Macaca mulatta: one gene and its partner. The protein of the gene in region 1 purifies or fractionates together with the protein of each later gene. This does not show direct contact. Links are inferred from orthologs where the notes say so. Each region holds a gene or a part of one and is shown on either strand. Other genes may lie near its edges.

Region 1 (4,252 bases):
ATTTTATTAGTTCTCAAATTTAAATCACTATGCATGCTCAGCTCTTCTAGTTATTTCCCTTCTTTTCTCATGCTGGGGGGAAAAAAAACCCGATTTATTCTAATTAACTGTGAGAAATGAAAGAGAACAAATCCTATCATTCCCTATTGTCTTGCGCAAATATGAAGAGAGAGATGATAGTGGGGTAAATAAAAGCAAAAGGGAATCCATTCGGCAGAATCTGTCTCCTCCCAGGCTGCTTGAAGTTAGATATTCTGAGATTCCAGTGGAGGAATGGTATGGTGAAAACATCGAGGTTCAACAAGGCTGAAATTTAGGTTATATTTTATTCAGATTCTACCATGTATAGTGTCTAAGATGAAACAACGCTGGGGAATGAAAAGGTTGTCGAAGATACAAGTTGCCTTTATTAAAGACAAATATTTAATAAAAATAATCACAATTCGCTTTCAAATCTGAAGAAAATACTGAGTTTTCCAGGCTACACATAAATAAAACTGCCAACGATGACAATTCCAGCAACTAGGAAAACAAGTACGCCTACAAAGAAAAGTGAGAAAATTCATGGAGAATTTGAACTCAGAACCAACTCCTCGGAGCTGATATTTTCTGGGGGAAGCCAGGGAACGCGCCGGGTTTCCTCAACCGCAAGGCCATGTTTAAGAGAGTCTGGAGGCCAGGTGCGGTGGCTCACGCCTGTAATCCCAGCACGTGGGGAGGCCAAGGCGGGCGGATCACGAGGTCAGGAAATCGAGACCATCCTGGCTAACACGGTGAAACCCCGTCTCCACTAAAAAATACAAAAAATTAGCCAGGCGTGGTGGCGGGCCCCTGTGGTCCCAGCTACTTGGGAGGCTGAGGCAGGAGAATGGCGTGAACCCGGGAGGCGGAGCTTGCAGTGAGCCGAGATGGCGCCACTGCACTCCAGCCTGGGCGACACAGCGAGACTCCGTCTAAAAAAAAAAACCAAAAAACAGAGAGTCTGGAAGCACAGAGCAAAATGGACATTCGAGGGCGAACAACTGCTGGCAAAGGGATAAGTGATCCGAAGCATTAAAGCCCTTGCGACAAATTCCGGCGCGAACGGCCAGGGGACACGAGACTCGCAGGAACAGCCCTCGAGCGAGCCGCGGACGGACGCGCACGCTGGAAACACGGTCACCTGCCACCGCCTAGCAGCTCCAGCCAAAATGGCGCCGCCGCTCTGCCCGCCCCGCGCGCGCGCCCTGTGGAGCGAGGACTCCGGGGACGCGCGCGTCCTCACCGCGGCTGCACGCCTGCGCGAGGGCGGGCGGCGGGGGCGCGCGCACGGCGGGGGCGGGCTTTGCCGAACGCAGAGCTGCAGCCGCCTAGCCGGACGTGTCTGCGAAGATGGCGGGCCGGGTGAGTGCCGGTCTGGGAGCCCAGGCTCGAGGCAGGGGCGCCGGGCTCGCGGGCACTCCGGGGTCCAGGAGGCCCCAGGGGAGTGGGAGTGAATCCGAGCAATGGGGCGCGAGGCCAGAGCGGGACTCGAGGGTAGCAGGGGAGCGGTGGCAGAGGATTAGCCCTCCTCAACAACTCCACCCCCCTCGAGGGGAGATGACCCCCTCGTTACCCGCGTCTGCTGCGCCTCAGGTCGTCCTCTCCCATTCCTTGGGGCTTGTTTCCCTTGTCCTCCACATAGCCGCAGGGTCGCGGTCGCCGAAGCCCCTTCTGACTGGCTCTGGGGGTCTTTCCGCACCCCCTTGCGAGGGCTTATTAGGGGGCGCCGGAGTAAGTGCCGGGAGCACGTCTACTGCATTCGGGGCGAGCGGTGTAGGAAGGATCATCAGGAACCCATGTCTGGCTCTTCACAAATTAAAGGTCGTTGGGAAAGAGGAGGGGGTGCCAATGACTTTTAGTGTTAGAGCCCTGCCATCTGGGGGACCTGTCAACTGTCAGGTCAGGCGGGAATTTGCTTTAGCTTGGAGTGAGGATGGATTTGGGCTGTCATGTTTTGTTTTTATGGATGACAGTCGCTTTCAATGCAGCAGGATATGCTGTAGTTTCAGGGTTTTAAATTTACTTCCTCCTTTAGGCTTTAGGGTTGCTGGGTAGGATGGATTTGGCGAGGAGAGATAGAGCTGCTTGAGTGCTGTATTGCAGTCTGCCTTGAGCTAAAAGCTCTAAAGGGATGAGTCCTGCCCAGAGATTACACTGGTTATAAACCTGAGGACATTAACTGCGTCACTGGGGGCGAAAGATGTGCTTGACTGATCTCTTTGTACCAGAATTTTTGAATAAGTTTGCATAGATTTATGCATATATGCAAAAGCCCTATCTAAAGGGACTTGTAGGTCATGAGATTCTAGAGTCAGAAGGGATCTTAAAGGTCATTTAGTTTGGCTTCTTTCTCTTCCTTTTCCCCGTGGTCTCTCCTTTTAAGGCTAGTCCTTCTACCAATACTTCAGACCCTATCTGTATATTCATCTACTCCTTCTTAATCAAGCTTCTTTATCTTAAAACAAACCCTTCCCCCACCCCCACAGCTGTCACCTTTTCCCTTCCCACTTTACAGCAGGAAATTTGATAGAGTTGTCTATATTTATTGTCTTCCATTTGCTTACCACCTACTCACCTCTCAACCTACTGCAGTCTGATTTCTGTCCCATCATCCCACTGAAACCTGTCCCTCAACTTAATTGAACTTTTCAATCCTTATTTGATGTCTCAGCAGCTTTTGACGTTGTTGACCATGGCCTCCTCGATGGAAAGCACTCTTTACATGTGTTCTTGGATGCCTAGCTCCTGGTTTGACTCAGACCTCTCTTTTGCGGACTCACTCTCCTCTACTTTGTTATTCATTGCTGGTATTTCTGCTCAGGCAATCTCTTCTAAGCCCATAGCTACAACTGTCTATATGGCAGTGATTCTCAATATTTTACCCCCAGTCCAGACTTGCCCTTTAAGTTTCAGGTTAATACGTCCAACAGCTTATTAAAATCAAGGCCCCTGAAACTCAGCTTTTTCAATTCCGAACCTAGGATCTTAGCCCACCTAACTTGTGTAGATGCTCCTCAACTTAACGATGGAGTTACCTTCTGATAAACCCATTGTAAGCTGAAAGTATCAGAAGTTGAAAATGCATTTAATACACCCCATCTACCGAATATCATAGCTTAGCCTAGCCTACCTTCCTTACACATCCCCAGAACACTTACATTAGCCTACAGTAGGGCAAAATCATCTAACATAAACCTATATTATAAAATGTTGAATACCTCATGTCATTTATTGCTGTGCTGATAGTGAAAAACAGAATGGTTGTGTAGGTCCTCAAAGTACAGTTTCTGTTGAATGCCTCTCACCTTTGCACTATTGTAAAGTTGAAAAATGTTAAGTGAAACCATTGTAAGTCAGGGACTGTCTGTACCTATTCAGTGAGATAGGAATATCTCACTGAATGATACCGTCATCCACCCAGTTATATAGGCTGGGAATCTGGGGGAGGGAGAGGGTGGGTAACCCTTGATATCTCTCCTCTGCCCTATCCATGTCCTCTGCCCTATACAAAGGTAAAATTTGGTAAAATTTGTCAGTTCTGCTCCTGCCCCCCATAAAGGTGTTTAATTAGGGTCTAAAGACTCTGGTTTGGGAGAATGATTGCTTTAAACTAGATCCAAATCACCCACTGGACTAGCTGGATTGGTCACATGGGTTCTGTCATTTTAACCCAAAAATCTCCTGTCTGTTCACCTTTCCACATCTTCATTTTTACCTCGTTTTCCCAGACTACCACCATTTCTGGTCTGGACTACTGCAGGAAGCTTCCAAGTAGTTTTTTTTGTTTTGTTTTGTTTTGTTTTGTTGTTTTTTTGGTTTTATTTTTGGGACGGAGTTTCGCTCTTGTCACCCAGCGTGGAGTGCAATGGCGCGATCTCGGCTCACTGCAACTTCCGTCTCCCAGGTTCAAGCCATTTTCCTACCTCAGCCTCCTGAGTAACTGGGATTACAGGTGCCCGCCATGACACCCGGCTAATTTTTGTGTTTTTAGTAGAGATGGGGTTTTACCATGTTGGCCAGACTGGTCTCAAACTCCTGACCTCAGGTGATCCACCTGCCTCGGCCTCCCAGAGTGCTGGGATTACAGGCCTGAGCCACCGTGCCCGGCCTCCCAAGTAGTCTTCTTAGAGCGTATGGCCCACCTCCGGTTCATTCTGGACACTGACATTGATTGTTCCTTCCCATGCCCATTACTACTTAAACCCCTCCTCAGCAGCATCCCATTACTTTT
Region 2 (4,312 bases), on another chromosome or scaffold:
GCGCACGCCTGTAGTCCCAACTACTTGGAGGCTGAGGTAGGAGGATCTCTTGAGCCCAGGAGAAGGAGGTTGCAGTGAGCGGAGATCATGCCACTGCACTCCAACCTGTGTGACAGAGCGAAACCCTGTCTCAAAAAAAATAAAATAAAATAAAGAAAAAACCCTAAGGCCATATACAGGCTCATTCACTTGGGGTCTCCTTTCACCCAGGCAAGCAGCTTTCCGTCTTTGCATTTTCCAAAGACTGCAAAGCAGGCTGGGGTGGGGTGGAGAACACAGGAAACAGCCAGTTCCCCTTCACTTCTCACCATCTTGATCTCCTCCCAAACCAAAATCCTATGTCTTTCCTTTTAACATACGCTTACAGAAATGCAGTCTTCTGTAGGAAAATTGAGGTCATGCATTCCAAAGTATTTAAGGGTATGATTTTTAAATTTTAGGAATCTAGTTCTCCAAGAAATCCCGGTTTGGGATATAGATGAACGAGCTATTTGGGAGAGATTTCGATGAGAATGAATTTTAGAGAAGTAGCAAGGTGAGGAGAGAGTCAGCTTAGCGTTTGGCTTTTGCAGTCAAACTTCAGCAAGGCGAAGTAACCTCGCTGGTCTTAATTTTCTCATCGGTAATAGGGAAAATAATAATGCTAACATTGATGAGTTACTTTACTTCAATATTTAAAAAACCGACTCTCCGCTATCTATTCTAATGATAAAAATGTAGACAGAGCATCGTCCCTTGCTGTGAAAAATCTTATGAACAAGTGAATTGCGGTGAGGATTCACACATAGTATGTGCTTAATAAACATTATTATTTTATTGTTTAGATTAGAAGAGGGGTGGAGGGAGAAATGAAAGCGGTTTGGAAACCCCAAATACTACCAAAACCCTGGGGACGGAAGTAGAGAGGAATTTCGGGTTACGATTTGGTTCCTGGTCTGAGTTTCAACGTTGAATACTCCCATATTTGGGCCTGAATTCTCAAAACAGAATAGGATGTAAGGGCTGAGATCATCTGGTACAGTTTTATGCAAATCGAAAATTCTTGCCTCTTGTCAATGTGCCCTGGCGAGAAACAACACCTCCACCCAAGCTCATCCAATCTCAGCCCCAACTAGGTGACGTCATCTCTCCGCCCCGCAACCCCCAAGCCCCAGGCAGTCCTGTCTCTAAGATACAGTCCCAGCCCCAGTCCCAGCGGCGCCTGCGCACTTTGAACAGGGGCGGGGAGGACGCGTGCGCGCTGCGTGGGGGCGGGACTAGTGCGCACGCAGCCTTAGCTTCTTCCCCGCCCTTGCTCTTCCCAGTTTCTCCGTCAGCCTGCGGGTCCCGGCTGGCGGCTGCTTCCGGTAGGAGAGTGGTGTAGGGCGAGCAGGTCTCAGCTCCTCATCATGTCATACGGTCCCTTAGATATGTACCGGAACCTGGGGCCCTCAGGGCCCCAGCTCCGGGACTTCAGCAGCATCATCCAGACGTGCAGCGGCAACATCCAGCGGATCAGCCAAGCCAGTGAGCCGGGGTACCGAGCTGGGGGGCGGGAGCTGTCCCCGGGACAGGCCTGGGTGAGACTGTCGGGTCGCGGAGCCCGGCTGGGACTACGGCCGAGGCCACACCTGGGGCTGTCTCGGGCTGTCCACCCTGGGGGCGGTGGGCTTGCCTCCCCCAGTCTGTCAGGCCCGGGCTGCCCGAGGGTCCCCGGCCCCAGCTGAAGCTTGAGCTGCTTCTCTGGAGTTCTGCCCCCACGGTTCTGGGACCAAAACAGCCCGAGGGTGGGAAGGGGAGTGTGTGTCATCTCGAGAGCTGTGAGTGCGTTGACTTGGCGCAGTGGTCAGCCGAGTTTCTCCTGTCATCCACCTTCCTCCCCACCCACCTCGCTTTCCTCTTAGGCCAGTTTGGATGGGGTTGTTTACTGATTTAGGCTTTAGGTTTACATTCTGCTCAGCCCCTGGCTCCTCGGAAATCAGCAACTTTCAATTAAGGGAAGTGGAGAGTGCATGTGTTTGGATGACTTCATACACAGTTCTTCCTGTAATGAATTCGGAAATCAGACACAATGACTGGTATTTGAGAGGTGGGATGACTTCTGTTTTAATAAAGATAATTCACCAGCAACATTTCAACTTACATTATTTTGTCTTTTGTAACAAAGCATTGGGGTGTATTTTTGGATTTCAGGCAGATGAGGCTTTTGTTTTCCTTCCCTACTTAGCTGCTCTTGAACAAATCTGGTACACAGGGAAGCTAAGAGACTTAGCCACAACCACAGAGCAAGTAATGCATGGTAGAGTTGTTGGTGGAATTCAGAATGGTATTGCTTGTCTTAAAACTCCCTCCTCCCCATTAGGGTCTGAGTGAAACTGTAGCTGAATGAGTCAAATACAGGGTGTTTCTTGGGCTTGAAAATCATCTTGGAGCCTTATAAACAGGAGATCAGCAACAGCTTTACTTGGAAAGAATGGTGGTCATCATCCTTATTGTTTATTATTGTGTTTTGTGAGCTTGGTGTACTCTGTTAATAGGTAGAACTAGTTAGTCCTGAATTACAATTCTGTATTTTAAATAATATCACTTTGCTTTAGTTTTTAAACTTTAAAAAATTTTTCTTTTTTGTAGAGATGAAGTCTTGCTGTGTTGGCCAGGCTGGTCTCAAACCCCTGGGCACAAGCACTTCTCCCACCTCAGCCTCCCAAAGTGCTGGGATTACAGGCGTGAGCCACTGTGCCCAGCCTAATTTTTTTAATTTAAAAAAATTAAATATTTTAAATTTGTTTTTAAGAGATGGAGTCTAGCTCTGTCACCCAGGCAGAGTGCAGTGATCTGAGTGAAGTAGAGCGATCCTAGCTGGCTATAACCTTGAATTCCTGATCAGCTTGCTGAGTCGCGAGGACTACAAGGATGCATCTACCATGCCAGGCTAATTTTTAAATTTTTTGTAGGGATGGGGTCTCACTATGTTGCCCAGGCTCACTTTGCTTTTAAATCTAAATGTATATTGTAGAATTTGAGAAGTTTCTGATCAAAAGCAGTTGAGACTCTGGAAGTGAAAGGAAGGGTATGTGACCTCTTAAAATCCAGAACTAAAAAAAAATAATATGACCACTGGTTAGAAAGTGTAGTACTTTTTGTTCCAGTTTCCTTTTGTGAAGGAGCTGTAATACAGGTTAGATCAGAAAATTCTAGTTCAAGGCTGAAATTTTCTTGTTGAAGCTAAATCTGATTTTAATATCTATTTGCAAAATATTCATTCAACTTGTATTCAATATTATATATATCATATATAATATTATATTTAATATATAATATAAACATGAAGATGGATAGATGGATACATGTTGAATGAATATTATATACATGCTGATATATATATATATATATATAAAACCAGAATACTCCCAAAGGTAGATCCAACATACATTTTAAAATTTACATTTAAATTTTTGTTTTGAGACAGGGTCTCACTCTGTCACCCAGGCTGGAGTGCAGTGGCATGATCTCAGCTCACTGCAGCCTCAGCTTCCCTGGCTCAAGCAGTCCTCCTGCCTCAGCCCTACAAGTAGCTGGGACTACAGGTGTGCACCACCATGCCCGGCTAATTTTTTTTTTTTTCTTTTGAGATGGAGTCTTGCTGTGTCGCCCAGGCTGGAGTGCAGTGGCACAATCTCCGCTCACTGCAAGCCCCGCCTCCTGGGTTCACACCATTCTCCTGCCTCAGCCTCCTGAGTAGCTGGGACTACAGGCGCCCACCACCACGCCCGGCTAATTTTTTTTTTTTTTTTTTTTTTTTTTTTTTTGAGACGGAGTCTCGCTCTGTCGCCCAGGCTGGAGTGCAGTGGCCGGTTCTCAGCTCACTGCACGCTCCGCCTCCCGGGTTTATGCCATTCTCCTGCCTCAGCCTCCCAAGTAGCTGGGAGACGGGGTTTCACCGTGTTAGCCAAGATGGTCTCGATCTCCTGACCTCGCGATCCGCCCGTCTCAGCCTCCCAAAGTGCTGGGATTACAGGCTTGAGCCACCGCGCCCGGCCAATTTTTTGTAGTTTTAGTGGAGACGGGGTTTCACCGTATTAGCCAGGATGGTCTCGATCTCCTGACCTCGTGATTCGCCTGCCTTGGCCTCCCAAAGTGCTGGGAATACAGGCATGAGCCACTGCGCCTGGCCCATGCCTGGCTAATTTTTATATTTTTTGTAGAGATGGAGTTTCACCATGTTGTCCAGGCTGGTCCTGAACTCCTGTTCTCAAGTGATCCACCCACCTTGGCCTCCCAATAGGCCAGGATTACACATGTGAGCCACCACGCCTAGCCTTCAACATACATT

Evidence for each region. The genes of interacting proteins can lie anywhere in the genome.
Region 2: the proteins of NSF (region 1) and STX12 purify together in Homo sapiens (co-immunoprecipitation; 4 studies listed by BioGRID and IntAct, with this or other methods). This does not show direct contact. The link is inferred for Macaca mulatta from reciprocal best matches to the Homo sapiens genes NSF and STX12.

What each region holds. Positions count from the first base shown.
Region 1 is NC_133421.1:70,502,955-70,507,206, reverse strand, and holds the start of NSF (vesicle-fusing ATPase), read left to right. Parts: upstream 1-1,329; 5' UTR 1,330-1,371; coding exon 1,372-1,383; intron 1,384-4,252.
Region 2 is NC_133406.1:213,166,846-213,171,157, reverse strand, and holds the start of STX12 (syntaxin-12), read left to right. Parts: upstream 1-1,374; 5' UTR 1,375-1,388; coding exon 1,389-1,506; intron 1,507-4,312. UniProt on the Homo sapiens protein: SNARE promoting fusion of transport vesicles with target membranes. Together with SNARE STX6, promotes movement of vesicles from endosomes to the cell membrane, and may therefore function in the endocytic recycling pathway.